Linked DNA regions of Drosophila melanogaster. The protein of the gene in region 2 interacts with the protein of the main gene of each other region in a pairwise test. Each region holds a gene or a part of one and is shown on either strand. Other genes may lie near its edges.

Evidence for each region.
Region 1: the proteins of CG3769 (region 2) and CG11076 interact in a two-hybrid assay, tested with the Drosophila melanogaster proteins (one large-scale study listed by BioGRID).

The regions. Positions count from the first base shown.
Region 1 is NC_004353.4:1,016,516-1,032,591, reverse strand, and holds CG11076 (uncharacterized protein), read left to right. Parts: upstream 1-1,616; 5' UTR 1,617-1,781; coding exon 1,782-2,621; 3' UTR 2,622-2,881; downstream 2,882-16,076. Other genes in the region: ATPsynbeta (ATP synthase, beta subunit), read right to left, coding at 639-702; mitochondrial inner membrane protein MPV17, read left to right, coding at 3,343-3,849; PlexA (plexin A), read left to right, coding at 9,121-10,350, 12,577-13,822, 13,883-16,076.
Region 2 is NT_033779.5:9,429,150-9,445,444, reverse strand, and holds CG3769 (uncharacterized protein), read right to left. Parts: upstream 10,047-16,295; 5' UTR 9,936-10,046; coding exon 9,732-9,935; intron 9,621-9,731; coding exon 8,718-9,620; 3' UTR 8,603-8,717; downstream 1-8,602. Other genes in the region: CG33723 (uncharacterized protein), read left to right, coding at 4,705-4,767, 4,824-4,979, 5,043-5,210, 5,279-5,434; RpS28-like (ribosomal protein S28-like), read right to left, coding at 8,262-8,492; scat (scattered), read right to left, coding at 10,530-13,164, 13,544-13,731; FucTB (alpha1,3-fucosyltransferase B), read left to right, coding at 14,515-14,748, 15,016-15,422, 15,856-16,033, 16,100-16,295.

The DNA.
Region 1 (16,076 bases), on a different chromosome or scaffold from region 2:
GTAAAGCTAATTGGTATCATTTTTTAATAAAAAGTACTATCAGTTTATTGATTTTCCTATCACTAGATACCAATATATACAGATTTATGTTATACTTAACGAAAGTGATACTAGTAGAATACATCATCGTAAAACTTAAACAGTAACAATTTGGGCATCAATATCGACAATTTTTAATATTATTTTTTAAGATAATGATGAACAATTAATATTATACTATTAATTATTAATTTAATTTTTAAGTAACTTTAATTTTCAAAATACTTTGTGAAGAATTCAATTGCAATATAACGAAAAAAAAATTTATTCAATTTAAAACGTCAAACAATATCGGCATACAATATATGTACATACCTAGTTAACTTACAGAAAGACGTACACGCAAATGTCTGACTAAAAAAATCTTTTTTTTTTTCAAAAGTCGTTTAAATTGAGTACTGTTATATATGTTATAAAACAGAAGTAACCTTAAATCATTCAAAATTGTTATGTAATATTTTTTTTCGCTCGTAACATTTTATTGAACGATAGGTTATGTTCGACAATTGCGCTATTAGCCAAAGCACATATTTTGTGCTGAACTTCGCAATTTAATACAATTGTTATCAATTAAAAATTTTTATTTTTGTGCTACTTACACAATTGCCCCAAGAATGGCAGCAAATTCTTATCGGCTTTAGATGCAGCACGTAACGCGAACATTTTTCTCGAACTAACTGAGAAGTGTGCGGGCGAGCAGAAGTCCTAGTGATGAGCAAATCGGTAGTCGCGATATATTGAGTATTTACGCTTCCAAAACATATCGAGGTTTTAGTATTTTTGCGTATTCAGACCATAATGTGGACTTACGTTGTTGTTACCGCACCAGGAGAGTGTCCGAATGCCACTTTTATATATACACAATGAACTGTAACTGTTGTGGTTGCCCGACACTAACGACTGATACACCCATGAAAAGGTGGTTTAATGGATTGCAAGCTGATGTGGCTGAGTAGAGGTAACTGCACCAACAAAAATAAGTAAAACAAGAGAGAACGCAAGTACGCAAGAGAAATTTAAATTATTTTATGGCTTATGGATAGAATTTGGAAAATATATGACAAAAAATGATATTAATAGTGGTAGGCGTGACAGTTTTGGGCGGCGTGTGGGCAATAGATTGTGCGTTGCAGCATCGATGAAAAAACTTGCCCTGATTCTTCGTCTCTGGAATGTTAAGTCTCAACTTGTTAAATCACTATCTAGCTTTCGTAGTTCCTGTGATCTCGACATACAGAGGGACATGTGTAGATCGACTCGGCTGGTGATCCTGATATGAAGATGATGAAGAAGATATGGTTGAAAAAGCGAGTAAACAATTCTTAGTCAGTCTGATTGGCAATTAATTTTTGTTTAAAAGATATCAAAAGCAAACAAAATTTTTCGATATTTGTCTTAATACAATTTTTGTCGGCTTGTCTGCCTGAAGAAAAGCGTTATTTTAAAACCTAAAAAATAAATTTGTTTATGTTAAACTGGTTGGTATGGGAAACTTAGGGTTTATTACTTTTGCTAAGCCCTTCCATTTTAGCGAGAAACAGCTATAAACATTTCCTTCCTACCCATCGCTAAAATCTAATAGTTTATCTAGGTTAGGGGTGTTTACGCTTACAAACACATAACTACAATATTTACTCCTTCAAATCATTTTAAGTTATCGATGCATCGATATTTCCCTTGTATTTTTCCACCTGTACCACGTGTGGTCATTTTCTGCAATACATTGATTTCCCCAACGCTCAATGAAAATAAGTAAAAAACTCTTTTCCCGCCAGGAGGAAAAACCTCGGAGCCAATTTCTGGAGGAGGAACAGTACGTGAACCTGACCTCAGGCGCGGCTGCTCGTGAGTGCTGCGGGGATGCTCTTTGGGATTTCGATGGTCAGACCGACGAAGCCTGGCTGGTCCAGTGTCCCAAGGGTGCAGATCCACATCTGCTAGTCGGCAAGCGCATTAGGCTTCCTGGCAGGAAGAGCGTGGGCGATCTCCAGGTTCGTGCCGTCAAAAACTCGACGTTACAGAGCGAGGCACTGGGCTATTTGAGATCTATGGGTCCCTATGCCCTCCGGAAAATTCCCTTTGTCGGCTATGTGGTAATCAGCAAGCGTCTATATGATAAACAACCGCTACCAGGTCAGAAGGAACATACAATTCAAGCTGATCTAACGCTACCCAAGTACCTATTACGAGAACGACATCCGTTGTTCGGGCGCAGCTACAAGCAACGCATCCAATTACCGAAGATGATTTCCACATCTCTTAGTCAAGCAGACGAGAAATTCTTGGAAGCTACTGCCAAGCTTCGCAGCACTGCTAACTACTACAAGATCCGGAGCAAGCTGCACACCACCACACAGACGCTAGAACAAAAAGAGGACGATGTGCGACAGTCGGTGCTTACCGGTCGTACGCCGCAGTTCATGAAGGAAACAATAATCCCGGATCTATATAAAGATCTCTTAGACGAAGAGGACATCGAGAAAAATATAATGAACCCAGCAGAGGAAGTTGGTCCTGCCAAAATGCGCAAGAAAAAATTTAATTCAAACGGTCACAAAACGGGAAATGCAGTAGGGAAATAGACAAAAGAAGCTTAAATTAAATGAAAGCAACGGCCGCTAATGACCTGGACGAAGTAATTGCACAAGAAGGCTTAAAAAAGTCGAATGGAAACCATTAAGAATTAGAGTTTACTTAAGATAAATTCACATACTTACGTAATTAAATAAAAATATGTAACGATTTGGATTATAGATTATCACATATAAGCTGCATAAATTAATGTAGTCATTTAATAACGAAATAAAATTGCACTTTGTCAAGGCGTGTTCACAGCACTATGAACAGCTGACGTTAATATCAGTACCTTAATAGTTGCGGAGAAAGAGCGGTGGTTAAAGTTAAGATTTATATTTAAAAGAATATTAAGAATACGCGTTGCGCATGTTCCGAAAGAGATTTCTGTGCTAAAACAGTTCGATACTTAAAACGTTTAAGTTATTTTACATTACATTACATTAAATTGCATATTGAACGCAATTTAACGTTTTCTCATTCGGCATGTAACAATTAAAAGGACTCACGCGCGTTAAAAAGTTGAATACGCTAGCATAATTTAATTTAAATAATTATTCAGAGTTGCCAATTTTTGTCACTTCAGCAATTGACACCAATCACTTTGCGATTATTAGGCAACCCTTTAAAACTACACGAACAACAGCAAATCGATTTCTCAGTTGTGTTTTAATTGCGTATTTAAAACAATTTGGATCGGGCTATGAATGGAACTGATCTCTGATAAGGATGAAGAGACTTAAAGCGTACCTAAAGGATGGCATCAATGTGGCGGCGGTAATGTGTCTGGGCGATACTATATCCCAGTTCTTTTTTGATAAGAAATCGTTGGACGAATGGGATGCGGGGCGAACCCTCCGTTTCGGCATCGTTGGACTGGTGTTCGTTGGCCCAACTTTGCGCCGGTGGTACCATTTTTTGGAGTCCCGGGTTCCCAAAACCTACTCGCCAATGCGGCGGGGCGTTACCAAAATGCTGGTCGACCAGACCCTTTTTGCGCCACCCTTTACCATGGCCATGTCTTTTTTGGTGCCACTCTCCAACGGAGAGCCCATCGACCGAATCCGGCAGCGCATTCTTGATAGCTACCTATCTATATTGGTCCGCAACTATATGCTCTGGCCGGCCGCACAGATGCTAAACTTCAGATTCGTGCCGCTGGGCTACCAGGTGCTCTACGCCCAGTTCATCGCCCTCGTATGGAACTGCTACCTCTCCATGATACTTAATAGCTAGGGCACTAAGTTCCCCGCATAAGTAATACGGTGCCTGTGTATCAAATTTAACAAATACATTATTATCCTTATCTCGACATGTGACTTCGGACTGGATTTGGTTGTCGTTTTTTTAGGGGTATTCGGCGGAAAGGCTGTACATATAGAATGGAATTTATAGTATACATGTATTATAGGCACTCGAGTTTTAATCCTACAAAGCACTTCAAAAAATTTTGCTTGAAATCTTATTTCCCTCCGTTATTAGTCGGTTGGGCATGTGCTTCTCAAAATATTTACTCGATCATTTAAATTTGAATTGGATAAGCAAGATTGTATCATAACGACGTCACGCCCAATCTAACGCCCACAATTTCTGTGGGCGTTGTGTTGTTATTTTGTTTTCATTTAATTATCTGTCATGATATTGACATACCACAAAAATTTTGCCACACCCAAACTGTTATGCCCACTCTTAAGAATTATTTTTCGATTTTATTTTATAAATTCTCTTGGCTGTTTCTATCGATTTGCCAAACGTATTTTAGCCACGCCCACTGTTCCCACTATCTGAATAACGGGTAAACCTTTTATTTCTGACATTTTAAGGCAGATTGTGGGAGGTAGGGTTAAACAACAAACGTTCTGCAACAATCTTGAAAAATGTGGCGTCACTTGAATCTACATGCTCTGAGCTCTCTAGAGTTCATAGTTCCGAAAATATCAATTCTCCATAAGTTTGTTCCTTTCTACATTTCTATTTTACGATTTAGGGGAATAAACTTTTGAAAAGTGCGTCAACGGTATCTTCTGACAGTTTCCCACAAGTTGTTGATATCCTGTTGTTTAACGTGAGATAGACGATTTATGGATAGAATTTACCTTAGTAGCGCCAAAAATACCGCAAACTGCGCACGCACGAAGCTGAGAATGTAAGCAGCCAATAGTGGAATACACTTCATGTGTACATGTGCAAATAAACACCCTGCAATTCAATTCATTTAACTTTTATCTATATGTCATTTCTTAGAAAAAATCTCTATTGCTAATCAGCCCTCAAAACAGTGAAATTATTGATTATTTTTTTTTCTTACTAACTAACTAAGTCTCTAACTACATGGTCATAACAACAATGCTTTAAATCAGATGTGTAAATATGCACATCTGCAGTCGGTGTCAGTTGAAGATATTTCAATAGGTCATAAAATGTGCACAAAGGCCAACAAAAAAAAGTTGTGCCATGAAATTTTAAATAACAAAATTATGCTTTGATACAGTTTGCGCACATATTTGCTGTGGATTGAGGAGCTGTTAGCATGAAATTCTTAAGTCCAATTTTTCAATTTACATTTTCATTGTGAACAGACCTTTATAGTCTCATCACACTATCGATATTAAAGAAAACGAATATATTAAATATATTTATTTCATTTTTTAATAATGCTCAAGGAAATTAGAGAGATAATAAATATTATCTGGCTTGGGAATCAAACCCCTTCCAAATTACTTTCGTACGAGTCATTACACAGTAACAACAAGACATTTTCCATGTACTCGTGAACATTACATTTTGAAGTGTGCCATCGGTTAATTTAGGTATCGATAGTGATAGGTATGAACGGGTCTTAGGACTAACAACTAGTTGTTTAATTCTCTCCTCTGCCTTATAGTATCGATAACATTTACATACAATGATGTGTAAATTAAAGTGTGGTGTAATTCGAAAATAGACAGAAATTATGTTCAGTGACTTGCGATGTAAAGAAATAATAGTTAATGAGTGAAATATAGGAAAACAAACAGTAAGCCGGATTTCCGATTGTTCACTAGAAAACTATCGCCGTTCCATAATTCAGATATACATACAAAATTGTCATTTTTTGCTAAATATTAAAAAAAGTGTAATAAAATCATTTAACGTTCCAGTGTATATTGCATTGCTTTAGAATTATTAAGAAAATACAAATTTTCTTTAACTGGTATACAACGTTGTATGTATGTAAAAATTAAAAACGGCCATGCAATCATTTTGTTTTATGTACTTAAGTATATATTATATTTATGTAAATAGTATTTTTAAAAAGTGTGGCTCTTATTTAAATACATTGTTAGCTGCGTTTCACACATACGAAATTAAATGCATCATGCATTGGGAAAGATAGCAGCAAAATAAAATTTGCTGTATATGATGTGCATGTGTATGCATATAAATATATACATTTTGTATAGATGTGTGTGCACCAGAATATCCCAAAAATTCCAAATGCAAAAGATCGAGTTTTACTTCTCTCAATAATCTTTGCCTAAAAACATTTAAACTAAGTGCACTTACATTTTACCGGTTTATTATATGTATTTAAATTCGGGCGCTGGCCAAATTTGTATGTATGTATGTGCAGTATGCATATATGCATTTGCAATGAAATTACCAAATATTGTGCACGCTCGCCCAAATTTGAAATCCTGGAATAGCCGTGAATATACTTTAAAACTACATAAATTCTCTATAACGAAATGGCTTGGAATAAGTGGCCTGAGTGCGAATATATGTAAGTGGAAAAAAATTGAACGTTTGGAACTGAATTTGTTCAAAGTTTTACAATTAATGTGTTAGGTAGAGGAAATTTTTTATTGCAAAAACGAGATATGCTTATATAGCATACATAGGAAACTCCTTAGCTTGGGATTTCCATTCCATTAATATTTATAGCATGATATGGATTCATGTTTAATATATATGTACAGTTGCGGTCAACATATTAGCGGCAGTAGCGGAATATATTTTGGTCGGTTATAGTCCTATTCGGAGACAGTAAATGGTAGAGCACGTTGGTTCATGAATTATGCTTTGGGTGAGATTTTCATATTAAGGAGTTGAGCCAGTATATCTGAAGCTCCATCTTCAGTTCCGTCACCGGGTTCTTGCTTTGCCGAACCAAGCGCTTGGATGCTTGGAGAGCATCCAAGTTGGACATTGAAGGCTTTCCTCGCCGCGTTTCGTTCTTTTCGACAAACAGCAGTGATTTGCGGATCATTTTGTTTGAACAACCGACAATGCGACCAATTTCAGCGTAGGTTTTACCTTCAGAGATCACGTTTTTAATCAAATTTCTTTTTTCGACGGTACAATGCTTTCCGTGACCCATGACTAGAGAATTTTTGGTCTTCGTTTGGAGCAAATTCAATTAAAACCTTTAATGCAACACCTTTTTTTCAAAATTTGTCGTAAAAAAAACCAAAGCAATCACTCCCATTAATTTTATTCAGCAAATACGTTTTCAGTGCTATTTTTGTTACCGCCTCATTTCGCGCACTTTTGCAGCAAGTGCCCAAAAACAAAAAGAACCGTTAAATTGAGAGACTAAAAATTTATTGCTCAAAGAGGCAACATATGGTACTTATTATTCATGCAATCTGGCTTAAAAAAAAAAAAATTTATAATTTTTTTTAGGATATCAATTTTCCACCTGCAGTAGTGCTATTATTTTAACCTTAACTGTAGTTTCAAAACTATTTGTACGACATCATTTTAAACTATGCGATAAACTACCCATGTTTCAGGGAAGTACACTTACAGCCAACCCACAGTTTTTGTTTTGACGTGATTAAATTTTTAAACTGAGTTTTTTTGGCTGTGAAGATTTTCAAAATTACGATTTATTGGGTGTTCACGAAATACATTTATAATCTATATGTAACAGCATTTCAATGTTTGGTGATCCACACAAATAGAATTCGAAAGAATACTATAGTCGAGTTCCCCGACTCAGATACCCGTAACTCAGCTAGTGTGAATGCGAACGCGAAATTGCTTTATTTTTCTGGGATATCAATATTAAGGAATAAAATGAGAAAAAATTTAAAATTTGTTTTAAAATGTGAGCGTGGCAGTTTTGCGCGGTTTTAGGGCGTTAGAGTGGGCGTGGCAACATAGGTTAACAAACTTTCGCTCCGTATTTGTCTTTAGAATCTGTATGCTGAATCTCAACCTTTTAGCTGATATATACAGCTGTGTTCATAAAAATAGCAGTGCTTGGGACTTGCGAGTTTAGGATAAAAAATCATATGATTTAAAGTTGTAATGGGAATTTTTTTCATAATTTTATTATTATATCAAACAATTCAACATATGTTTCACTTTTATTTTTTCAATAGATATAGATTAAAACAACATAATAGGCAGAAATTCTGGTGTTCACTGAAATAGCAGTGATATGAAAAAATAGTAACAACATGACTTAGAACTAACATAGTTTTTTTTTAATGTGTTAATTAGGGACTAATACCTGGTTGGATTGCCTTTTTTAGCCAGCACAGCCTTACACCTACTCGGCATGGAGTCCACGAGGACGTTTGGGGGAATTTTTGCCCATGCATCCTGCACAACTTGCCAAAGCTGAATCTTGGACATCGGGGAATTCTTCGACACGTATTGTTTAATGTCCCCCCACAGGTTTTCAATCGGGTTTAAATCGGATGATGGTGCTTGCCACGGCATTGCATCTATTCTATTTTGGGTGAACTTATTCTTAGCCGATTTGCTTCTGCGTTTCGGATCATTATCCTATTGGAATGTCCATTATAAGGGCATATTCCATTCAGCATATGGCAGTAAAACATCACTAGGTATATTTACATACCATTAATCATATGTATGGGACCCACACCGTTGTATGAAAAACAGGCCCATACCATATTTATGTCCACCGTGCTTAACATTCTTGAGTGTGTGGCTTGGGTTGTACTCGGTCTTTGGAGGTCGTTGGACATACTGTCGTGAACCAGTTCCAGTTCATATTTTTGACTCATCAGTCCAAAGGATATTAAGCCATTTGGAGACTGGACAGTTTCTGTAGGTTTTAGCGAAGTTTAACCTTGCGTTCATTCGTACATGGCCAGATCGACTCGGCTATTGATCCTGATCAAGAATATATTTTCTTTATATGGTCGGAAACGCCTACTTCTGCCAGTTAAATAATTATCAACGAATCTAGTATACCCTTTACTCTACGAGTAACGGGTATATATATATATATATATATATATATATATATATATAACTACTTTCCTTATTGTTTTTTCAGGTTTACATGATGGTCATACAAGTTATTGCTCCAAGTTAAATTATCTTGAATGGAACGGATAATAAAAATTGCAAGAATGACACCAACGCAAAGGAAATTTTAATATTTACGTAAAATTTCAAATAAATAAGGGACATACAAGCGCCTACAAGTAACAATTTCATAAATAAGGTAGCTTTGATAGTCCTGTTTAAGGAGCGATTGTGGAGATGAATTTTGTTCTTAGTGTGTTGTTAATAGCAATTCTTAAAGATAAGTATGATTACTGGCTGCCATCGAGGACAGGTTGTCAAACCCTGGCAGCAAATATATGGTCTGACAAGACGACTGCGCAAAATGAGCCGATAAATTTGACTAATGCAAATGCACCGATAAAGAATGCAAAGAATCTGAATTCTACGATTACAAATGTAGCTGCGTTTGACACCAAATTGAATCACCTATTAGTGGACACCATTACTGGACGAGTCTTCGTTGGTGGTGTTAACAGGTTGTATCAGTTGTCGCCTGATTTGGAGCTTTCCGAAACTGTGAAAACGGGGCCTCAAAATGATTCCGTCGAGTGTAGCATTCTTGATTGTCCATTAAATGCAGTTCGCAGTCCGACGGACAATTATAATAAGGTCTTGCTCATTGATCGTGCAACTTCAAGACTTATTGCGTGTGGATCACTATTTCAAGGTACATGCACAGTTCGTAATCTTCAAAATGTCAGCATAATTGAGCATGAAGTTCCTGATGCTGTTGTGGCTAATGATGCCAACTCCTCAACCGTAGCATTTATTGCGCCGGGACCTCCACAACATCCGGTGACTAATGTGATGTACGTCGGAGTTACATACACAAATAATTCACCGTACCGCAGTGAAATTCCCGCAGTTGCATCCCGCTCCCTCGAAAAGACTAAAATGTTTCAGATTGCTTCCTCGGCAGTTACAACTGGAACGAGAACTTTTATAAACTCATACGCACGTGAAACATATTTTGTCAACTATGTTTATGGATTCAGTTCTGAGCGATTTTCTTACTTTCTAACAACACAGTTAAAGCACAGTCACCATTCTTCTCCTAAAGAGTACATAACGAAACTCGTACGAATATGTCAGGAAGACTCGAACTATTATTCTTACACTGAAATTCCAGTGGAATGTATAAGTGATGCTCAAGGCGGCACTAAATTCAACTTGGTTCAGGCTGGATTCTTGGGAAAACCTAGCTCAGACCTGGCTCAAAGCTTAGGTATATCTATTCAAGATGATGTCCTCTTTGCTGTTTTTTCAAAAGGAGAAGGGAATACACCAACGAACAATTCTGCACTCTGCATTTACTCATTAAAATCTATTCGTCGAAAGTTTATGCAAAACATAAAATCCTGTTTTAACGGAAGTGGCATGAGGGGCCTGGACTTTATATCACCCAGCATGCCATGTGTTCTAACGGTAAGTATAGTTTTATTGACTACTTTAGCTTCAAAGTAAAATCCTTTTAAAAAGTAATGTCTTATTGTAAAGTGCTCAGTGTTTACTTAATTATTTCTAAGCCCTTTAAAGTTAATTCCCACGTTTCGTCAAATTATATATATATATTTTTATATATATATATATACATGTATTATATATATTTATATTTATATTTATATTTATATTTATATTTATATTTATATTTATATTTATATTTATATTTATATTTATATTTATATTTATATTTATATTTATATTTATATTTATATTTATATTTATATTTATATTTATATTTATATTTATATTTATATTTATATTTATATTTATATTTATATTTATATTTATATTTATATTTATATTTATATTTATATTTATATTTATATTTATATTTATATTTATATTTATATTTATATTTATATTTATATTTATATTTATATTTATATTTATATTTATATTTATATTTATATTTATATTTATATTTATATTTATATTTATATTTATATTTATATTTATATTTATATTTATATTTATATTTATATTTATATTTATATTTATATTTATATTTATATTTATATTTATATTTATATTTATATTTATATTTATATTTATATTTATATTTATATTTATATTTATATTTATATTTATATTTATATTTATATTTATATTTATATTTATATTTATATTTATATTTATATTTATATTTTTATTTTTATTTTTATTTTTATTTTTATTTTTATTTTTATTTTTATTTTTATTTTTATTTTTATTTTTATTTATATTTATATTTATATTTATATTTATATATATATTTATATTTATATTTATATTTATATTTATATTTATATTTATATATATATTTATACTGGAAATATTATTTTATGTGATACACTAGATTCGTTGCAAAGTGTGTAACAGCCAGAAAGAAGCGTTTCAGACCATGTAAAGTATATATTTATTGATCAAATTAATAGACGAGTTGAAATGGTCATTTCCATATGAACGCCTCGATCTCAGGAACTATAAAAGCCAGAGATTAAGCAGGTAGAATCCAAAGAAATAGACGCAGCCCAAGTTGATTTTTTAAATGTTGCAAAGCAATATCTTACGGAGTTTTGAGAAATGTCTGAAAAATTCCGTTACTAGTAGAGTAAAAGGGTATACTAAATTCTTAGAAAATGTGCTTCCTTGTGTGTGACGTGACCATATAAATTATATAATTTTTGATCAGGATCAACAGCCGAGTCGATCTGGACCGTGTGTCCGTCCGTATGAACGTCGTGGTCTTAAAAACTATAATCGGACAAAACTGACACGTTAAAAAATTGTTTTGATGTTTGTATTAGTCTTGTGAATTTTGTATCGAACGCCAAAAAATTGTCCAAAACTGTCACGCCCACACTTTTAAAAAAATGGTTTTCCCAATTTTTACAGATATCCCAGAGAATATTGAAATCTTTCACACTTTCAGCTAAGTAACGAGTATCTGATAGTCGGGGAACCCGACTAGCATTTTCTCTTGTTTTTTTTTATGAAGAGTTTTTTTTTAGTAGAGTAAAAGGGTATACTAAATTCTTAGAAAATGTGCTTCCTTGTGTGTGACGTGACCATATAAATTATATAATTTTTGATCAGGATCAACAGCCGAGTCGATCTGGACCGTGTGTCCGTCCGTATGAACGTCGTGGTCTTAAAAACTATAATCGGACAAAACTGACACGTTAAAAAATTGTTTTGATGTTTGTATTAGTCTTGTGAATTTTGTATCGAACGCCAAAAAATTGTCCAAAACTGTCACGCCCACACTTTTAAAAAAATGGTTTTCCCAATTTTTACAGATATCCCAGAGAATATTGAAATCTTTCACACTTTCAGCTAAGTAACGAGTATCTGATAGTCGGGGAACCCGACTAGCATTTTCTCTTGTTTTTTTTTATGAAGACATCCAGTTTTAGAATTAGCATTCGTGGAAAAGGCAATTTAAAATAATTTATTCTCGCATATAATGAGCTAAAAATATTATTTAAAGGTACTTCTTTATCTATAGGCGTGGCTATTCGTTATTCGTATGCCAATATGACTGTCCTTTTACTTCAGCTATTATGCTCTTCGGAATCTCATATCCTAAGAATTATTTTATCTTAGCAAGAAAATGAAATATCAGTTGCTTATTGGTAATTTTTTTGGATGCTGACAAATTGATTTCAGAAACTGCAAACCATTGGAGAGGACTTCTGTGGATTAGATGTAAACTCACCTTTAGGAGGAGAAACCCCCATTACTTCAGTACCGGTGGCCATGTTTAACACAAAGTTAACTTCTGTTGCTGCTACGAGTACAAGCGGGTATACCGTTGTCTTCGTGGGGACTAGCGATGGATTTCTTAAGAAAGTTGTAATCGAGTCTTCATCTATTGCCAACGAGTATGCTAGTTTTGCAGTAGATTTAGGGTCTGAAATTAATCGGGATATGCAGTTTGACAACCAAAACCTTTATATATATGTTATGTCCAAAACAAAAGTATCCAAGGTTAAAGTATTTGATTGCTCTGATTACAAGACATGTGGAGATTGCTTAGGTGCTAGAGATCCATATTGTGGCTGGTGCTCATTGGAAAATAAATGTAGCCCACGCTCCAACTGCCAAGACGACGCAAACGATCCTCTCTATTGGGTTAGCTATAAAACAGGGAAATGTACAACAATAACAAGTGTTGTGCCACACCAGCTACAACGTACTACAGCTCGAACCTTAGAGCTAATCATAGATCATTTGCCTCAGCTGAAAGAGAATTTAATATGTGCTTTTACTACAGAGGATAAAGCCCTTTTCACTAATGCTACAAAAAAACGAAATGGCGTAAACTGCACGACACCACGAACGGATATGCTACCCCAAATTGAACAAGGGAAACATCACTTTACTGCCAAACTATCTGTTCGCACCAGAAATGGACCCGACTTAGTGTCCACGGATTTTACTTTCTTTGATTGCAGTACGCACTCTTCTTGTACACGTTGTGTGTCCTCGGAGTTTCCATGTGATTGGTGTGTTGAAGCTCACAGGTGCACACACGACACAGCTGAAAACTGCCGGAACGATATTTTGGTAACAGGTGTTAGCCGGATAGGTCCTAGTTACAGATCAGGTCCCGGATTTTGTCCAACGATCAACGCTACAGGTGATGGAAGTGAAGTACTTGTCGCTGGTGGTACAAGCAAATCCATTAAAGTAAAAGTTCATATTATTGGGCAATTTATAGTTCAAACGCGGTTTGTTTGTCAATTTAATATTGAGGGACGTGTAACTAGTTTAAACGCTCAGTTGTTGGGTGACACCATTTACTGCGATAGCATGGAATTTCAGTATACTTCTAGATCGCCCAATTTGACAGCAACTTTCGCTGTAATATGGGGCGGGTCGAAGCCACTTGACAATCCTCATAATATACATGGTGAGTTGTATTTAGAATAAGATTTTTAAAATTTTACTCTTAAAATTTTATGTTTTGCAGTTGTTATATATCGATGTCGAGAAATGGCCGACAGCTGTGGTATATGCTTGGCCCTATCTGAAAAGTACAATTGCGGATGGTGCTCGTCTACTAATACATGCGAAGTTGAAGAACAATGTAATAAAAACAAAGAGGGGAAAACTGATTGGTTAAATCGAAGTGAAATTTGCCCAAACCCTGAAATTCATACATTCCAACCAAAAACAGGTCCCTGGGAAGGAGGAACAAATATAACAATACGAGGAATTAATTTAGGCAAAAACTATAACGATATTTATTCAGGAGTTCGAATAGCTGGTATAAATTGTATGCCGTTTCCTCAATTTTATATTGACACTAAGCAAATAGTATGTACCGTGGATAGTCCTGGAGAACAGATGTATAGAAATGGCAAAATAGTGGTACAAATTGGGGACTACCGTGGTGAGTCCAAAGAGGACTACGAGTTCGTTGACCCGAAAATTTTGGATTTTAATCCAAAGTTTGGTCCAACTTCAGGTGGAACCGAAATACATATAACTGGAAAGCACTTAAATGCCGGCTCTCGTATACAGGCATCCATAAACGATCACTTACCGTGTAAAATACTAAGCACAGATTCTTCTCAAGCAATATGTCGCACTTCTGCTTCCCCTGGTATTATTGAAGGAAGACTAAAAATGTCTTTTGATAATGGGCCCCGAGAGTTTAATGACTACAATTTTAAATATGTACTGGATCCTACAGTTGAACACGTTAGTTCTGGACCAAGCGGGCAAATAAAAGTTCCAAAAGGAATACCAGCAGGCGGTATACGAATTTCTGTAACGGGTACCCAATTTACCAGTATACAAAATCCCAATATTTATGTAGTGTATAATGGAGAGATGTATGCAAGCCCATGTCGGGTGCAATCGGATACGGAAATGGAATGTGCATCTCCAGTTGTTGATGTGGACAGCCATGTTATTGAAGCGGAAAGGCCAATTCTTCTTGAATATGGGTTCCTAATGGACAATGTTTTGCGTGTTCAAAATTTATCTAAGGTTCATAACAACCATTTCGAGCTTTACCCAAATCCAGAGTATTTTATATTCGAAGAAAGAGTTAAGTACTTTAAGAGTGAATACTTAACCATAAATGGCCGAAATTTGGATCGCGCTTGCAAAGAAAGTGATGTAGAAGTAAAGATAGGAAATGGATTTTGCAATATTACATCACTTTCAAGACAACAACTAACATGTAGACCTCCTTCTGAAGCAACAGCAACCAAAAGCATGAATGGACCTGAAGTAATTGTTCGTATTGGAACTTCGCTAGAGTATCGTATCGGTATACTTAGCTACGAATCGTCTAACATCATTTTGGATTGGGGAGAAAATGTAATTTTTGCTGTAATAGCCACAATTGTTATCTTGCTGCTGATTTTTGTTGCTTTGCTTGTGGCTTATAAAAAGAAAAGTTCGGAATCGAGCCGAGTTCTTCGAAACATGCAGGAGCAGATGGACATTCTGGAGCTACGAGTCGCAGCTGAATGTAAAGAGGCCTTTGCCGAACTCCAAACTGAAATGACTGATCTCACAGGCGATCTTACTTCTGGAGGCATTCCATTTTTGGATTACCGGTCATATGCAATGAAGATTCTATTTCCAAACCATGAAGACCACATTGTACTACAATGGGAACGTCCTGAGCTTCTTCGGAAAGAAAAAGGCTTACGTATTTTTGGCCAACTAATCATGAATAAAACTTTCCTCCTGCTTTTTATACGAACCCTGGAGTCCAACCGATACTTCTCAATGCGAGAACGAGTTAATGTGGCCTCCTTAATAATGGTCACTCTGCAATCTAAACTAGAATATTGCACAGATATATTAAAAACTTTATTGGGAGACTTGATCGAAAAATGTATAGAAGGAAAGAGTCATCCAAAGCTCTTACTACGACGAACTGAAAGTGTGGCAGAAAAAATGTTAAGTGCTTGGTTTACATTCCTTCTTTACAAGTTTTTGAAGGAATGTGCTGGCGAGCCTTTATATATGCTTTTCCGAGCTGTGAAAGGACAAGTAGACAAGGGTCCTGTTGACGCTTGTACACATGAGGCAAGATACTCCCTTAGTGAGGAAAAACTTATACGACAGTCTATTGATTTTCGACCAATGAACGTTTATGCAAGCATTATACAGCAGCCAATATTTTGCAATAACTTAGATAT
Region 2 (16,295 bases):
TTGTGGCTCAGCTCTCGCTTAGCCATCACGCATCCAATTTGTTGGCGCATCATCAACTTCATGGCTTCGCCTTCAGATTTACCCCCCACCCCTCCACGCATTGCCACACAAAGTGGCACCTAAAGTGTGTGTAATGCAATTCCATTTTACAGCATTTCTTCATCAGATACTCCTCCGTTTTTTTTTTCTTCTTTTTTTACTCTTTCTTCTCTGCAAATGGACAGAGAGTCATCCGCCGGCAATTTGGAACGATTCCAGTGGACTCCGGGCTCCCATGTCTGGTGTCCAATTATCCTCCCTGCTCCATTCGGGGCTCAGAACTCACTGGATGGAAGCAGATGCAGATGCATATGGAGATCCAGATGCAGACACAGAATGCTGACGACGACCGCGGACACCAATTGGAACGTGCCCGTTTAGTTTTCCTCAGCACGGTTTCAGATGCTAAAATTGCATTAATGCAATTCGCTTTTTTTCTGGTTTGCACTCAAGCCCCCCCCCCCCCCCTCGAGACATTCGTTTTTATTTGGGGAAAAGGGGCGAAAAGTGCCAGTCGAATGTCAAATTGTGTGTATTTTCAGACAGAAGACTTGCATTCTGGGGAATTGTTTAAAGTGACGCTTTTCAAGGGGAAAAATTAGAGAAAGTGTCTCCTTAAACTGAAACGGACCATTTGTAAGTCTTAAGTTACTAAAAGCAATAGCAATGGTACTTTGTTTATTAATCGACTGTTTAATGAATGTGTAAGCTAATTGTTTCTTACATTTCCTGGTTTGACGTTTAATTTGCTATCAAAGATAATCGGCTTATTGCCTATTCCAGTTAAGGAACGCAACGTGTATCCGCTAAATTTACACATAGCAATTATACAACGGATGGTGCTAAATTTCAAGCCCCCGCAAGAGTCAATCAATAAGTAAAATGGTATGGTATCCAAGTCGGGCCACCACCTCAAGGCGTGGCACTTCTGTTGATTGGTGTTCTCTGTTTTCGTGGGGCATGCCACAAGATTAATGAGGAACATTGAAACGCCTAAACTTGTTTTAGACCACGCCGAAACCGACACCCCCGCAAAAGTGCCAGCGACAGCAAACATATAGTATATATAGTATAGTATAGTTTAGTAGTGGCACGAGTATAGTTGTGCAATTGCTAATCCGCCATCTAGCTGGTGACCATAAACCAAACGCCGTCGGGCGCTTAATGAGGCGCAGTCCTCCTCGTTCTGAAAGCCATAGCTTCTATCTTCTACTGTCTTGTGGATTTTCCTCCACGTTTTCCATCAGACTTCGACGACCACGCCAAAGATGTTTCCTTGGCCAACGCAAATATCAACATAGTACATTCATTTGTTGTTGCGCTTGCTTTTGGTTGGTATTATTGCTTTTATTATTGTCGGCTCTGTGCGGTTTTGGCTTTTTCAATTGCACTTGAGGTGCTTCGCATCCTCTCCGTCATCATCAGAGAACACACCTTGAAGGTGGGAAAACGATAATAATAAGACTAAGCATAATAAAAGCCGGATGTCTATTAAAGTTCTTCTCTGAACTGCTGAAATTCTATATTTTTTCTTATTGCCTGTGGGTTGATTGGACTCGAGTGTGTTCCGTATCCGTACATACAAATGTATGTATATGTTGTATACTCTTGGGTGTGTGGGTGTTGGGCTTTTAAATTTACTTCCTCTCATCTCTGGAATTGCTTTTTCGGTATTGAACGGAACAGGAATTAAATTCAGCTCAAGGACTGCAGGTAACGAATAAGGTGGAATTGATTGAAATTGATTGCCTGGATAAAGTTCGAAAAAGTTTTGTAAGTGATGATATATGTATAACTTATTGGCTGAGGTAAGTTTTTTTTTTGGTTTGTGGCTAAAATCTTCGAGTTTTTGAGACAGGCAAAAGGTTTTTAATGTTATTTTTGGAAACAAAAATAATAATATCAAAATAAGAAAAATACCTTTGCCTTGAATCGAGTCAACCCTATTTAACCACATTGACATTTACCAAAGTGAGTCAAGGTACAGATATTTGTTCGCACGCCCACGATATGAGATTTCTGGCAATTCCCACGGGAACTTTGGGCAGAACACGCGCCATGTCCTGATTCGCAAACCACCTCCGAATTCTCTACTCTCCTTCCTTTCGCCAGAGAAAAAGCTGTTCTCAGCATATACACTTGTAGCTGGGACATAAAGACACAAGCGTCTGGCGCGGCAACGCTTAAGGATAATGTGCCGCACGCTCGTGGCGGCCTACAAATGGCAGGGAGTGTCCTTGTTAACCCAACAGTCCAGTCCAGTTCTGATCAGGCACAGAAAAATCAGCGAGGGTGCGCCGGAAAACATGCAAAAACGTGCCGAGCACGAGCCACTGAAGGAAAATGAAGGAAAACTTTCCAAGTTACTGGCAGTTCGTGCCTGCCGTTGACATTTCTCCATCTAATTGCTGCGGCTTGCTTTCGTTTTCGACTCGATTCGAGCCAACAACCCCATCAATCTGTCCAAGCCGCCGCTAACTGACATATTAATTGCTCATAAAGCATAAGCAGTCACCACCAAAAATGTAATCCCCCCTGATTGGGCGCCGGGGGTTGCTCGAGATATTGTGCAAAACATGCAAATTTTCCAGGCTGGGAACCAACCTTTATAGCCGCATGAACTGCCTTTTGACCTAAGCCCATCGCGGCTCAAGTGTCTGTGGCATTATCCTTGCCCGCCAGACAGTTGCCTTAACGCTTCGCTGCCTCTTTGGCAGCGAAAGGATGACGGTCGAGGATGTGAGTGCTCCTGCTAAATTGCTCATTAGCTGGATCACAAACTAGAGTGTAGAGTGGCGAAATAGGAAAGGAAGTTCAGTGCGAGTTTCTACGATCCAGGAAGGACGTGAGAAGTGTTCTGCCTTGGCCCCCAATCCTTTGAGGTAGGTCAGGTGTTAAGGGTTTTAGATTGCCGCTTATGATGTGAAACGTGAGAACATTTAATACAACAATATTTCAAACTTATAGTAACTTTCTATGTTTATTTTTGGATATTCAAGTTTTAATAAATACATTATTCTCTTAATCTTCATGCTGTATTTCATGCAATTTATCTTGAGCATCGCCACCTATTAGCCGAGTGCTCTTCATGCCCAGCATCGTCATCAGCAGCTCTTTGCTGCTTTAATTGGTAAATTGTTCAGCTGATATCACAATTTAATTATCACACATTAATTGCCCGGCGAACGAAACTGCACCCAGGCACTTCGTCGTCGTCGCCGGTAGATATAATGGACGAAGAGCCATCTGGGAACTGCCTACAATCGAATTAAAGTTAATTTTTCATGCTCTACTAAAAGTTATGCACACTTGGCGTTTGTCACCGAAGGTATATACATATATGTTTGGGAGTGTATCCGTGGTTTATATTTTGGTGGCGGGATGGGAAGGGCTGTGGATGCGATTTACGGGTGGAGCACATCCACTCTTTAAGTGGGATGTCAGTCGATGCCGCGAGGCGGTCGTGCTTGGTTGCTCATTTATGACCATGGAGCACTGGAGGAACGTATACGTATCTGCAAGATACTCGTACTCGTTCCCGGCACGCACACAGAATGCAATTGCGGGACGGATCGGAATGGAATGGAGTGGAGTAGAGCAGTGTGGAGTGGAGTGGAATCGGAAGTTGTGGATTCAAGGCTCCGGGTAGCAGCTTTAAGTCACCTTCTGGTCGTTTGATGCTTCAGTGAGCTGCGACTGCAGTCGCTACCCATTTCCTTCGTTCAGTGGGGATTGCAGTTCATCGTGCTCCATGCAACTGGGTTACCTTTTCACTGGGACAGGGCACTGATTTTATTTGGTTCTGTACTCTGAACATGGTTAAGGAAGGGTCACTCCGGTCATGCTTGGGGAGCAGTTAATTAATGTTAAGCTAACTTTAAGTTTCCGCTTTAAAAAGTCGATGCAACATGCAGTTGAGAACTTTTGGGTCACTTAGTTCGGGGAACTTTTTACAGTTGAAAGAAATACGATACAAATTATGTTTAACGTATTGGATGTTCTTGATATTATTATTCAACTTCATCTGGTTAACAATAACATTTGCATATCGATCCGATAGCCAATCGTATTATGCTCCACTATCCTTGGCTGACATTTGCCATTACATCAGGCCTTTCTGCATTACCAATGACATATGACATTTGGATAGCGGCGCATCTGTAAAATTTATGCACGTAATGCGCGCGCTGCGAATGTATCTTTGTATCTCGCAGATGCCATTACATTTACGACCATGCCGCATGACAAAGAAGCTTTTTCCTGTCTGCCTGTCATTCGTCGTCAAAATCTTGATAAATTTCTAGACAAACAGTTCTAAGCTGGAAGTAAAATCAGGGTCTTTGCTCGACCAAATACATTTTATTCTGTGACCAAAAGAACTTTTTGTGGGAATGATAAGTGATGGTACGAAAAATTTTAAAACGAAGTTTATGACTATAAAATGTTTATACATTTTAATATTATTCGGCGTTTTTTAACAATTAAATTAAGTTACGCACGTTTTTAGCCCTAATGTAAGCATTCTCTGTGCTGCTCTAAAGTTCTAATTATTATTCCATTAAAACGAAATATCTCTGATCGATCAATTTAAAAATCCAATTTTATGTACCATAAATTTTTACCTGAGCTAATAGATTTCAGTTCGTCAGAGTCTACCGATATAACATGATGTACACGAAGCTAACTTTATTAGTTTCTTTACTGTTGCTTATGTTAATAGTAAAAGAGGTAATTAACTATTATATATAATGAAATAACAAATCTGAAACCCCCGAATATTATAGATAAAACCCCGAGTGGAGTTTACGAACTTGAAGTGTAGGTCTGTGAACAAAGATTTTGCCGAATTTACGCAATGCACTCTGAAATCGATAAATCGAACATATAAATATATTTCGACAAAGGTTTCACTGCACAAACTGCCAATTACCAAAGCACGGGTAAATATAACATATTTTTTTAAACCTTTTTCCTACTAGTTAACAATATAATAAACATTTTAGGTCAACTTTGGATTGTACAAAAGGTTTAATGGTTACAGGCCGTTTCTATACAATAAAACCCTAGATGCTTGCCATTTTTTCCAACATCAAAAGGCAAATCCTGTAGCAAAGTATTTCTTTGACATGATTAAGGAGTATTCAAACTTAAACCACTCCTGTCCATATAATGTATGTATATTTAAAGGGTTTATGGTTATACCTATATTAATAAAATTCAAATGTCTGCCCCTCATTAGAACGATATTATTGTGGAAAAAGTTTCCACCGATACGGTTAATCACCATGTTACGAAAATTCTCCCTTATCCGGAAGGTGATTATATGTTAGAGACTCATTGGATGCTAAATGATATTTATTGCGGAGTAATTCAAGTGTATATAACTCTGTTCTAAATTATAAGTTACTAACACTAATAGACTGTCACTATTATTCATGATTTCAAATTTAGTTCTCCGCCAAATAAAATAACATCAGCGCTGCAGTATTCATTGGGCCACCATTTATTAACATAATTGTATTATCAAATCAGATAGATAAGCACATCACCACACGATTGATTATTATCAGTAGATAATGAATGGACATTATTTAATTAAATTTGATAACAAAATTATTAGGAAATAAAATAATTTCCCACTAATGATAGCGTTTTATTTATTAATGTATACAATTGCAGCTGAGTTAACCAATTCATCAACATTTTGCCCGTTTTGCCAGTTTCTTAACATCTCACTGCCTCAATTAAAGTCATGAAAAACTCAATCATTCAATCCTACCCCAATCAAATTGAAGTTGCCTGAAAGGCTATAAGCAAATAATTTGTTATGCGACAAAATTGCCATCTTAAATTATATTTGACATTTAGTAATAAATGTTGATTGCGCTTGTTTTTTCTTATTCAATTGTTTCATACACTTAATTGCGTGATCTTCACTTCACACTTTTTTGGATGCCATTTAGTCATACAGTGTTAATTATATATTCTTATAACAAATTCCAGTTTGCAGTTTTAATTGACAGATTTTTTTTCATTCGCATTTTTGGTGTATATTTGCAAAGTTCTAATTTATACGCTTTTTCATGGTTCAATTAACATTTTCGAGTGCAAGTTATTGGCCATGCTTTATCTGTATGAATAAATATGTATGTACATGTATAAGTATGTTTATACTAATATGAGGTAAAGTCGTTGTATTTGCGAAAGGCTTTTCGAAAGTAACCAATGCCAAAATGAACATAAACCAAGTAACTGAAAGAAGCTTTACTGTTACCAACAGAAATTGCCGACAGCGTGGTTTAAGGGGTCTTAATACAAATCATTATGATTAATCATCGCTCACAAATACAGGCAAGTGACTAAGGTACACAGATACATTTTGGTTTCCACGCCCTCGGGTTAAAGATACAAAAAAAAATTAGATTTTCGAGCATTTGCTTTGTTCTTTTCCAGACGAAATATAACGCTACAGGGCGATTAACATGTTTTTTTTCTGCTGATTCAAATTTGAAGCGTGGGCATATCCAAATTTGGCAAATAAACTCGCTTCTTTGAAGTCATAACTTCAATAATTTATTAACGAACGGGCGTAATGCGTTAAAATCAATGTTCGAAAGCGATTTCAAGAGGTATGTATGTAGTTCGTTTGGCGATCAAAACAAGACGGAACTGCAATTGGGGTCAAAGGATGCAAAAAAGAACGATGAAACTGAAACGCGTGCCAGTAATGAAAAAACAAATAAGGCAAGAACAATAAACAGAAGAAATCCCAATAATGCTAGCGTCGCAATTCCAACAAACATAAACATCAAGAAGGAAAATAAAATGAATTAGGAACACACATTGAATCATGGTTGTTAAATACCCTTACACTTAAATACATATGATTGTTAATCTTTAGGTACCCCTTAGTGTGCCAGAAAGTTGACCCAACCAACATTTTCGTAGCATATTGCAATATTATACTGTGCATAGTCGATCTCTTGAGATGAAAATACATCCACTATAAGAGTGTCGCCAATCCCACGGGTATTCGCAAATGGCCGAGCTTAAGTGCATTGGTATAGGGTATCAGATCGCGACCATATGGCGTTTGGGTCGCGTTGCCTTGGCAATGTGACAAAATGCAAATGCGGCTGCTTGGCTAACGGTAAGCTGCAGGAAAACAGTTTCTGTTCTTGATTAAATACACACACAACCATGCCAATCACGCACACACGTTCACGTGCAGGAACAAAATCGCAGAATAACATAAAAAAAAGAGCGCCAGAAACGGAGCTCCCGAAAGAAAATCGATAATTTGGTGTTTTGAGGTCTGTTTTTTATAGTGACCCACCAAAAAATTGGAGCAGCGCTTATTTGCTCAGCTTTCGTAGTATTAAGTAGTATATATTGTATGTATATATGTATGTATGAACGTGAGTGAAATTTATTATTTGAACTCACCTGCGATGATTTAATTGTCAAGTTATGAAGTTGGCGTGAAGCTTTTTCCACAAAACTCCGAAAGCTTAAAAGCAATTTAAAAATATATTTTTGTTGTTGCCGAAAATAAAGCCGAGAAAAACAAACAAAGCGAGAAACTCCGTTTCGTCGGACTGATTACACAACTTTACAGTGTGAAGTTGGAGACTTGGTTTTGTTTCTTTTTATTTTTTTTGTGGGGAGGCCGAATCCAGCAGGTTTTAATTACAGTGTTTCAGGGCCGCAAAGCTTCTCATGTTTCTGGGCCAGCACAATTCATAATTTTCCGAACAACTCGCATTGGAGTTTCGGCCAAATAAATTGGCACCAAACAAATGGCCCACGACGCACACACACACACGCAAACACACACCCGCGCGTGCACGCACACACACGACCGTCGAGAAAAGAGCGCGCAGAGCGACTGACAGCGACTGAGCTGGAAAGCGAACTGAAAACCAAACGAACCAAACCGAAACGCCAACGGCTTGGAGCACAAGCTCCTCAAAGGCGCGAGCGAGCTGGGGAGATAGATAGAGAGAGAGAGCACAGATTCACCCTTTATAACGGTACATTTCAAGACATGTGATTGACAGTTCGCCAGCCTGCATCCCTGACATGGCGTTGCCACTCTGTGGAATTGTGCTACCCTTAATTAAAAGTTTACTGGTTAATTGCAAAGTTGCTATTTTAAAATCGTTATAGGCTGATTTTCGCAGTTAGGTATTTTTTCTCAATTTTATTTATTCTGCATTCACCTAGCATATATCTTCAAAATTGCTATTGCTCCTGCTCGAAGATTGCCATGTCAACTCAGTGTCCTCGAAATCCACGATATCTCCCAGACGCACAGGTCCCTTGACCGTCCGCATGAATTGCATCTTGGGTTGATCGACCAGCTGCACACGAACTTCGGTTAGAATGCCTCGGGCTCCAATCCGATTGAGAATTTTTATGACACGAGCCTTGGAAGCGACAGGTTGGGGCATATTTTTTGACTAAAGTCAAACTAGCTGTGGTAATAAATTGATAAATTTAATGCTGAATTTTTTTCGAATTTTAACTTTCAGACCTAAAATGAACTCCAGACACTAAAAGTACAGCTTTCTAAACATTTAATTTAGGGGTATGTAACTTACAATATCAAATGACAGTTTTGTTTTGGATATTTTAGAATACTTTGAGGTACATCTTTGCTTAATCCCAGCCGCTTATTAAGTTTGAACACTTTCGAACTTTCCGCGCAGCAAGACATCCCTCATTAATCCTGCGAGTTCCTCGTTCTTCTGCGATCGGATCTCATCGATGACTAACTCCTTGAAACCAGGGTCCTTGGCCGGATCGGTGGTTTCTTTTAGCTTCTGCTTCTCTAGCTGCAGCTGCGGTACTTCCATTCCGAATGTGGCTCCAATTCGCTCCACACTTTGGGCGCCAGTATCACCAATTTTCGACCAACTGTCCGTTCCAAACCAAATGCACAGTGGTTCATTGAAGTCCACGACATGAGAGCGGAACGGATGAGCAGGACTGCCAAATCCCAAGTGACAAATGGTGTCCCTCAGGACCTTGGCCAACTTGGGCATCTTCTGGGAATAGAACAGCAATGCGCCACCTATGAGGTGGGCCATCGATCGCAAGCAGCGGCAGGTGTGCTTCCTGATAATAGGATCGAAACCAGAAAACACATCGTACTTCCCACCGACAATTATCACTGGAAAGGGCAGAGGGTCTAGTTTTTCCGAATCTTTGTTCTGCTGACCCACTCGCTCCACTGTTCGCTGTTCGAGGATTTCCCTAAGCTCCGGTGTTACCTTCTCCATCATCTGCTGCGCCGTATCCCTCAGTCCCTTGTATGCGCACTCCAAATCCGTCCAAAATCGCTGTGGCTGGGAGAGATCTAGCATAAGGATGACGGCTAGTTGCTGCAAACCATGTGTCCGCATTGGTACTTCCAGCAATTGCTCGGCATTGTCCAGGGAGCCCAGTTCCCAAACGTTCATCACCTGCGGTGACTTTCCACTGCCAATCCGTCGTCCAAAGCTGTACTCCAGTGCTAGAGTTGGCCGCGTTGCGTGTTCCTCGCGATCAAAGAACTTATTAATGGCCGTCGTCTTACCCTTAAATAATAAAAAATATAATATTTTTAAAAAGGGGTTTGTAGATTTTTAGTGTATAACTTTTTTGGAATATGATTTTACGTGGATTTATAAGTTGGATCCATTGCTTACCACACACTTGCTTCCCAAGACAAGAATTGTCCGCTCTTTGGGAGTCGTTGTGGCCTCCAATTGGCGAAGCCGCTGCTGCTCCTCCGCCAGTCGACCGGCGATGTCCTGAATGCTGGGCGTGGCACTTTCGCCGCCCTCAGTTCTCTTTACAAACATTTTTTGAAGACGCTGGTGCAGGCTATGAAAGATTAGCGGCAAGCGCATCGCAGGAAAAGGGCATAAACTAAACTACTGCGGTTTGTTTTGCATTTAAAACGGTTGCTACTAGCAACTGCGACTGAGTGGCAACTCTAGGCAATATCAAACTGACCGTTACTTTCACCCCTAAGTTGCATAAATTTGAATATACATTTGAACATAAAGGATAGCTTTAATTTTGGATTTCCTTTATTTATTGGTTGTCATCTGATTAAATTAAACATTAAAAAATATATATATTCCAAATAGAAATCCAGCTAACGATAATAATACTAAAGGAACAAGGGAATCGTTTACCGCCATTGATTTGTACGCATTGAAATTTGTTGATTATTTTCTATTCTTTAATCATAAGCCTTCCATCGACTTTAAGCTTAAGTGTTAAAAAAGTGCGCAACAAAAGAGATACATTTCCAATTTCCTTTTGCTATAGGGCGGAACATAAAAGTACAAGCAATGTACAGCGGCAAACAAGATAGACTGAACTGGACGCGACAATCGGTATTGTATAAATAAAACAAGGATAACAAACAATGAAGACGAACTAGGCTGGGCGGTCGGAGGATTTCCGCGGCAACCATATGGAATACTTCGGAATGCTCAGTAGAGCCAGATCTCCTCCAGAATCCCGTTGTCTAGCTGCTCGGCGGGCAGGGCTTTCAGTGTGCGCAGCGTCTCCATGTAGAAGGTCAGCTCTGATGTCACCACCCCGTGCTGCGGACCCCCATTGTTGTTCACATTCAACTTGAGCAGTTGTTCCCGCAGCTTGTCTTTAAAGTTTCGATGAACAACGCCGTAGATTTCGTGTATCTGTGCCTCCGGCAGCACACCGGCGATGGCCTCGTGAAGTTTCACCAGGTGACGCGAGATGTGACGGAATGTCTGAGAAGGTATAGGTGGTCTGGCTTCCCAGGCATCCAGTTGAGCTGCCAATCTCTCGGATACAATTCCGTGTATTTTATTCTCGATCTCCTTGATGTGACCCTGGTAGTCCCGCTCGATAGTTTCGTATCCGCTCATCGCTTGGAAATGCTCTTTCAGCTTGGGCAGTAGCCATAGAACTAGTTGCAGTGCTCGCGAAACCAGAGCCAGGTTGGTGCTCGTTATGGTTTTTAGCCCAGCAACTCGCATTGCTCCTGCTCCGATAATTAGTTGGCAGCTTCTTGAGTTGAAGCAGCGCAGCAGGTCCACCACATTCCTGGCGTGATAGCTGGCTAACAATGGCAGCCGATGTGCACTACAACCGTACTCATACAACATTCGGATGAGCATTAGCGAAGCGCTGACCAACGTGTACGGTTGTTTGCCTTCCACCAAGAGCACTGGGTTGCCTGCTCCATTGCTTATCAGATTGCCCATCTCCGGTTTGGCATAGTCCCCGGCGGCCATACGTTCGATTATTCTCTGAAATTCGTGCGGAATGTCTACTTGGCGCCAGCGCTCCTGATCCAGGAGTAAGGACAACTTCTGCTTTCGTTCAGAATGGAATCGTTGAGCATATCGGGAGGCTTGGACTTTGAGGGCCAGCTGGAGGGGCACACTGGCCACTCCACAAATGCTCCTTGTTGTCTCGCCAAAGTGATCCACAATCTCAGATAGTTGGAAAAGTTCTTGCTCGCTAGCTGAGCTCCTTTCCAGGCTCTGAGGGGACACAATGTTGGCACAACGCTCATGGCAGTAGTGGCAGACGGCTTGAAGCAGTTGTTGCAATTGGTTTTTTAGTTGCTCATGGTGTCCCGGACTCAAAAAGGCTTCTGAATCTATCAGATTCACTGCGTCCTGGGCTCCCACAGCTGCGTCCGCTGTTTGCTGCATTATACCAACTACAGTTTTAATTCTTTCGAGAATGGAAACCAAAGCTTGGCTGGAGCGCTGGAGCAGAGCAATCCATTCGGGAAGGGTGAGCTCCAAGGCTTGCTCTCCGTGGCCCGTTAAACTGATCTCCTGATCGCTGTCACTCCGTGCCAAAACCTCAATCAGCAGCTGTTTTATGATGGCTCGAATGGTGGCGATTGCTTCTTGCTGGTAAGCCTGGACAAAGGAGAAGTTCTGCTTGCGCAACAGGCCCATCACAATAGCTACGAGTTTATCCTCCTCGGCGCAAACGCTGTCGGTTTCCCGGAGGGCATCCGTTAACGGTCGATTTAGATCGGCGGCAGCATAGCGCTCGAATTCCGTGGTAAGCATTTTGTCAATAAGCTTCTCCATTTCGCTAAGCTGCATAGGCAAATGCTTAAAGCAGTGAATGCCAAGGAGTTCGGCGGAAAGTATTTCCTGCGTGGTGCCTATCAAATCCAAGGCTGCCACATAGTCCTGGGTGCCCAGTAGGAGCTGCAGCATCGGTTGCGTCTTGTGTACGGTGGCCATCAGTCGGAGTTTGTCTAGTGTGAGGTTATAGTGCTGTCTTCTTTGGGCGAAACGCAGCACTTTGAAGCTGTCTACAACCGAGTGGCTGTGGAGTTCGGCCAGTGCTGCCCGCAACTGACGTACTTGGTCGGCCGCCTGCTCCATCTCAGCCAGAATAGCGTGCTGCGTGGTCATGGCGTGAAAGAACGCAGCCGATTTCTGCGATACCTGTTGCGCTATTTTAACTTCCACCATGTCCAGGTAGTGACTCAGCTGTTCCTGCAGCTGACGACCAGTTTGCTGATGACTTTCCGGACTGGAAGCCGATGTTTGCATGTAATTAGGAAATACCTGCTTAAAGGTTGCCGGATGATGAAGCTGCAGTTGTGATTTCAGAAAGATCTCGGGCACAGAACTCAAGTGTGTTGGTGTCTGACCACCAGTTCCCGGTCCAGGTGCTCCTTGTGCTCCATTCTCCAGCGGTTTATCACGCTCCAGTTGTTGCTGCCGCCGCTCATGCCAACGATATCGCTTCCCTATGCTGCCCAGATACACGGTAAAATCCGCATGGGTTATATCGGGCAATCGGGGTGATGGGGGCACATGACTTCGTTCCACAAAATGCTCGCCCCACTTTTTGGTAAACAGATTACTCTGCTTTCCTCGCGAGGGATCGTTGAGCACCGCTGGCAGGTTTTGGGCCGCCGAGTAGACTCCCCATTCGGGAGGCATTTCGCGCGTGTGCTGATTGACATGGTACTTGGCGACATGGGCGTCGTAATCGCGATCTGAGACTCCGTCCAGTGGAAGCGAGGCACATACTCCATTGAAGCCATAGCGGCACACAAATGAGCCACCCTCCCGGGTACAGTGACGATTTCGCAGGTGACTGTAATGCGTAATGAGAGCATTTATTAAAACAGCTTTATAAGATCTGAGTAACTTTAATGAATCAATATTCTATTAAATTCCAATTGAATTTGCAACACATTCTATTATCTTTAAAATTACATATATAGAAGTTGTATTGTTTTCCGTATAATCACTTTTAGACAATCCCAAATATAACTTACGTACAAAACACCTCTAAACGAGGTTTGTGAGTTCGACTGCAGCTATACAATTTTAATTATTTCTACCTGTCTGTGCAATTTACCTGGCATTTATCGTTTTAACTCATACATGCATATAAAGTTAAGATAAAAATGGTATTGACTCGTAAGGCTGCTCAAAGTTCTATTATATGGGAAGATTTGGACGACACTCACTTGACGAAGTCGCTGATGCTTTTAAAGTGCTCCCGGGTGCAGTAGTAGCAGCTCTGCCAGCTGGGCGCCACTCCTCCGGCAATTCCACCGACGCTAGCCGTCGATAGCTTTCTGATACCCGAGTTCCCTGCTGCCGGTCCAGTATCAACGGACGTGGCGGCACCTCCGGCGGATCTTGTCGTGGCCATAACACATGCTCTGCGTTTAAAGTGCCGCGCCGTATGGTTTCCCCGGTGGTTCACCTGCTCCCAATCGTTGACGTGTTATGTCAATGTTTGTTTTCTACCTTCGCTCGTCTGCCTCTCTTGCCAGATGTTGCATTTTGGTTGCTCCGCAATAAGTCCACTTTCATTGGCTGTTCGTTCTCTAGCCTTGGAATGGGCACATTTCGTCCGATTTATGGGTGTTTCTGTTGCTTCTGCGGTCGCTTAATTGAGCAATTGTAAGTGGAACAATATTATGACGAAGTTCAGTGTTGTAAAACAGCGGCGGACTGGATGGCAGCTGGCGAGGGCTGGAAACGGTCAAGCGCGCGATGCCAGCAGCTCGAAATTAAAATATGAAAGTAATTAATTTTAACAGAAAATAAATATAGTATATGTTTAGTTAATATAATTAATGTAATTTGAATATCTAAAAAACAAAATATCAAATAAATAGAATTATGCTTTAAAAATTTAAGTTGAATAATAATTATATGTTTTAATTATATTAAACATTCAGGCAGAACTGTTTTATTTTTTAAATAAAAATGTTTATACATTTCCTGGCATACAATCGTATCGTGCAAATCGTGTCTCAAAAATACCAAACGTTATCCAACACTACATCTGAGCAAAATCAGCTGACGACTGACAGTCGAAATTGGGGCGCTCGAGCGAAATTGCGGCGCACCGGCTTTTTGAATCTTTTCGAAGTGGTGCAGCGAATAATTTTGATTATCTAGCTAGCAAAGAACTGCAAAGATAATCATGCGACTGGCACAACGTTACGGAATTGCACTGGTTGCGCTGCTTATGGTTGGGGCGACCGTATTGTTCTTCTGGTCGGAAAATATCATTAACTACGAAAACATCAAGTTCAACAGTCCTGTGGAGCTGGTCTGGTGGTCCAGGGATATGTCCTGGAATTACGACGTGCAGCGCCAGTGCGGAATTCATACTTGCCGCATCACCAACAAGCGGAGCCGCCGTCCGTGGGCCCGGGTTCGTTTCAAAAACCAAAAGTCTAGATTTCTTTTTGTTTCACATCCGGCAGACATGATAAGAATTGGATTGAAAATAATAATAATATAGGGCTCCAACTGTTTGAGATACTGTACCATAGTTCTGAAAAATATGTAAACACATAGCTTAGACTGAGAAATGCATAGCACTGCAGATACAAATTCGCTTACTTCAGTAAGATATGTAATTGTAGATTCATTGTAATTTGATATAATAATAACGGAATGTCTCTTACATTTTTCACAGGGCGTCCTGTTTTACGGCTCAAACATAAAGACGGGAGACTTTCCCCTGCCTCGGAACGAGCACCAAATCTGGGCCCTACTGCATGAAGAATCACCAAGGAACACCCCTTTTGTGTCCAATAAAGAGTTCCTTCGCCACTTCCATTTCACATCCACGTTTAGCCGCTACAGCAACTTGCCGCTGACTACGATGTACTTGCCCAGTGGCGAGGCGCTTACTTCGAAGGATTACTATGTTACGTTTGACGGCAAGTCAAAGTACGGATACCGTCCATCCACATCGGTGGTGTTCCTCCAAAGCGACTGCGACACGATGTCTGGAAGGGAGGACTACGTAAAGGAACTGATGAAACATCTTCCGATCGATTCCTACGGCAGCTGCCTACGGAATAGAGATCTGCCAGAGAGGCAAGTAGGCTATTCCATTTGTATCCTATTTATAATCCCAAACATTTTACACACTCATAACAAACACGCGTGACAAACACATCACGTGAAACACTATCGTTCTAAAATTCCTTTGCCATCATGACATCACCAAGTGCCAACGAGCTTCCCAAGGTCTGTTGTTCAGAGTGCTGGGTGCAGTTGTACGGCTCGCTGCCTCAAATGAGCAACGTTTCCAGAGAATGCTGCTGTCGTCAGGGAAATCATAAAGATCTAGAAGAACCTCTTTTCTGTGATGACGATTCAATAATGGAGTCTCAAAATAGTTCAAATGATTCTGACCAAGATAGCAACGGAAGATGCGGATGCCCTTCATGTCGAGCTGAAAAACACTAATATCTAATTTGCAATCGAAATCGTAAAAATTGTTCAATGCCTATTGATTTTGTTTTAGCTTGCAGAAGGATTACTTGAATAATTTATATTCACCGGAGTTGCTGCGTTTCCTGTCCGAATACAAGTTCATGATTGCCATTGAGAACGCTGCCTGTCCGGATTATATTACCGAAAAGTTTTGGCGTCCTTTGATAATGGGAGTTATTCCAATTTACTTTGGCTCACCCACCATAAAAGTAAGTCCGTATTTCAAATAATAATTTTCACAATTTTTTTTTTATTACATTCTACAAATATTGCAGGACTGGGAACCGAATAATAAATCTGCAATTTTTGTGAACGACTTTCAAAATCCTCAGGCATTGGTAGAGTATCTCAATAAGTTGGCGGATAACAAAAAGCTGTACAATTCGTACCGCCAACACAAACTAAATCGGCGTAACCCCATTTCCAACAAAAAGCTACTCCACAACCTTGTCACGCGCCAGTACCACATAG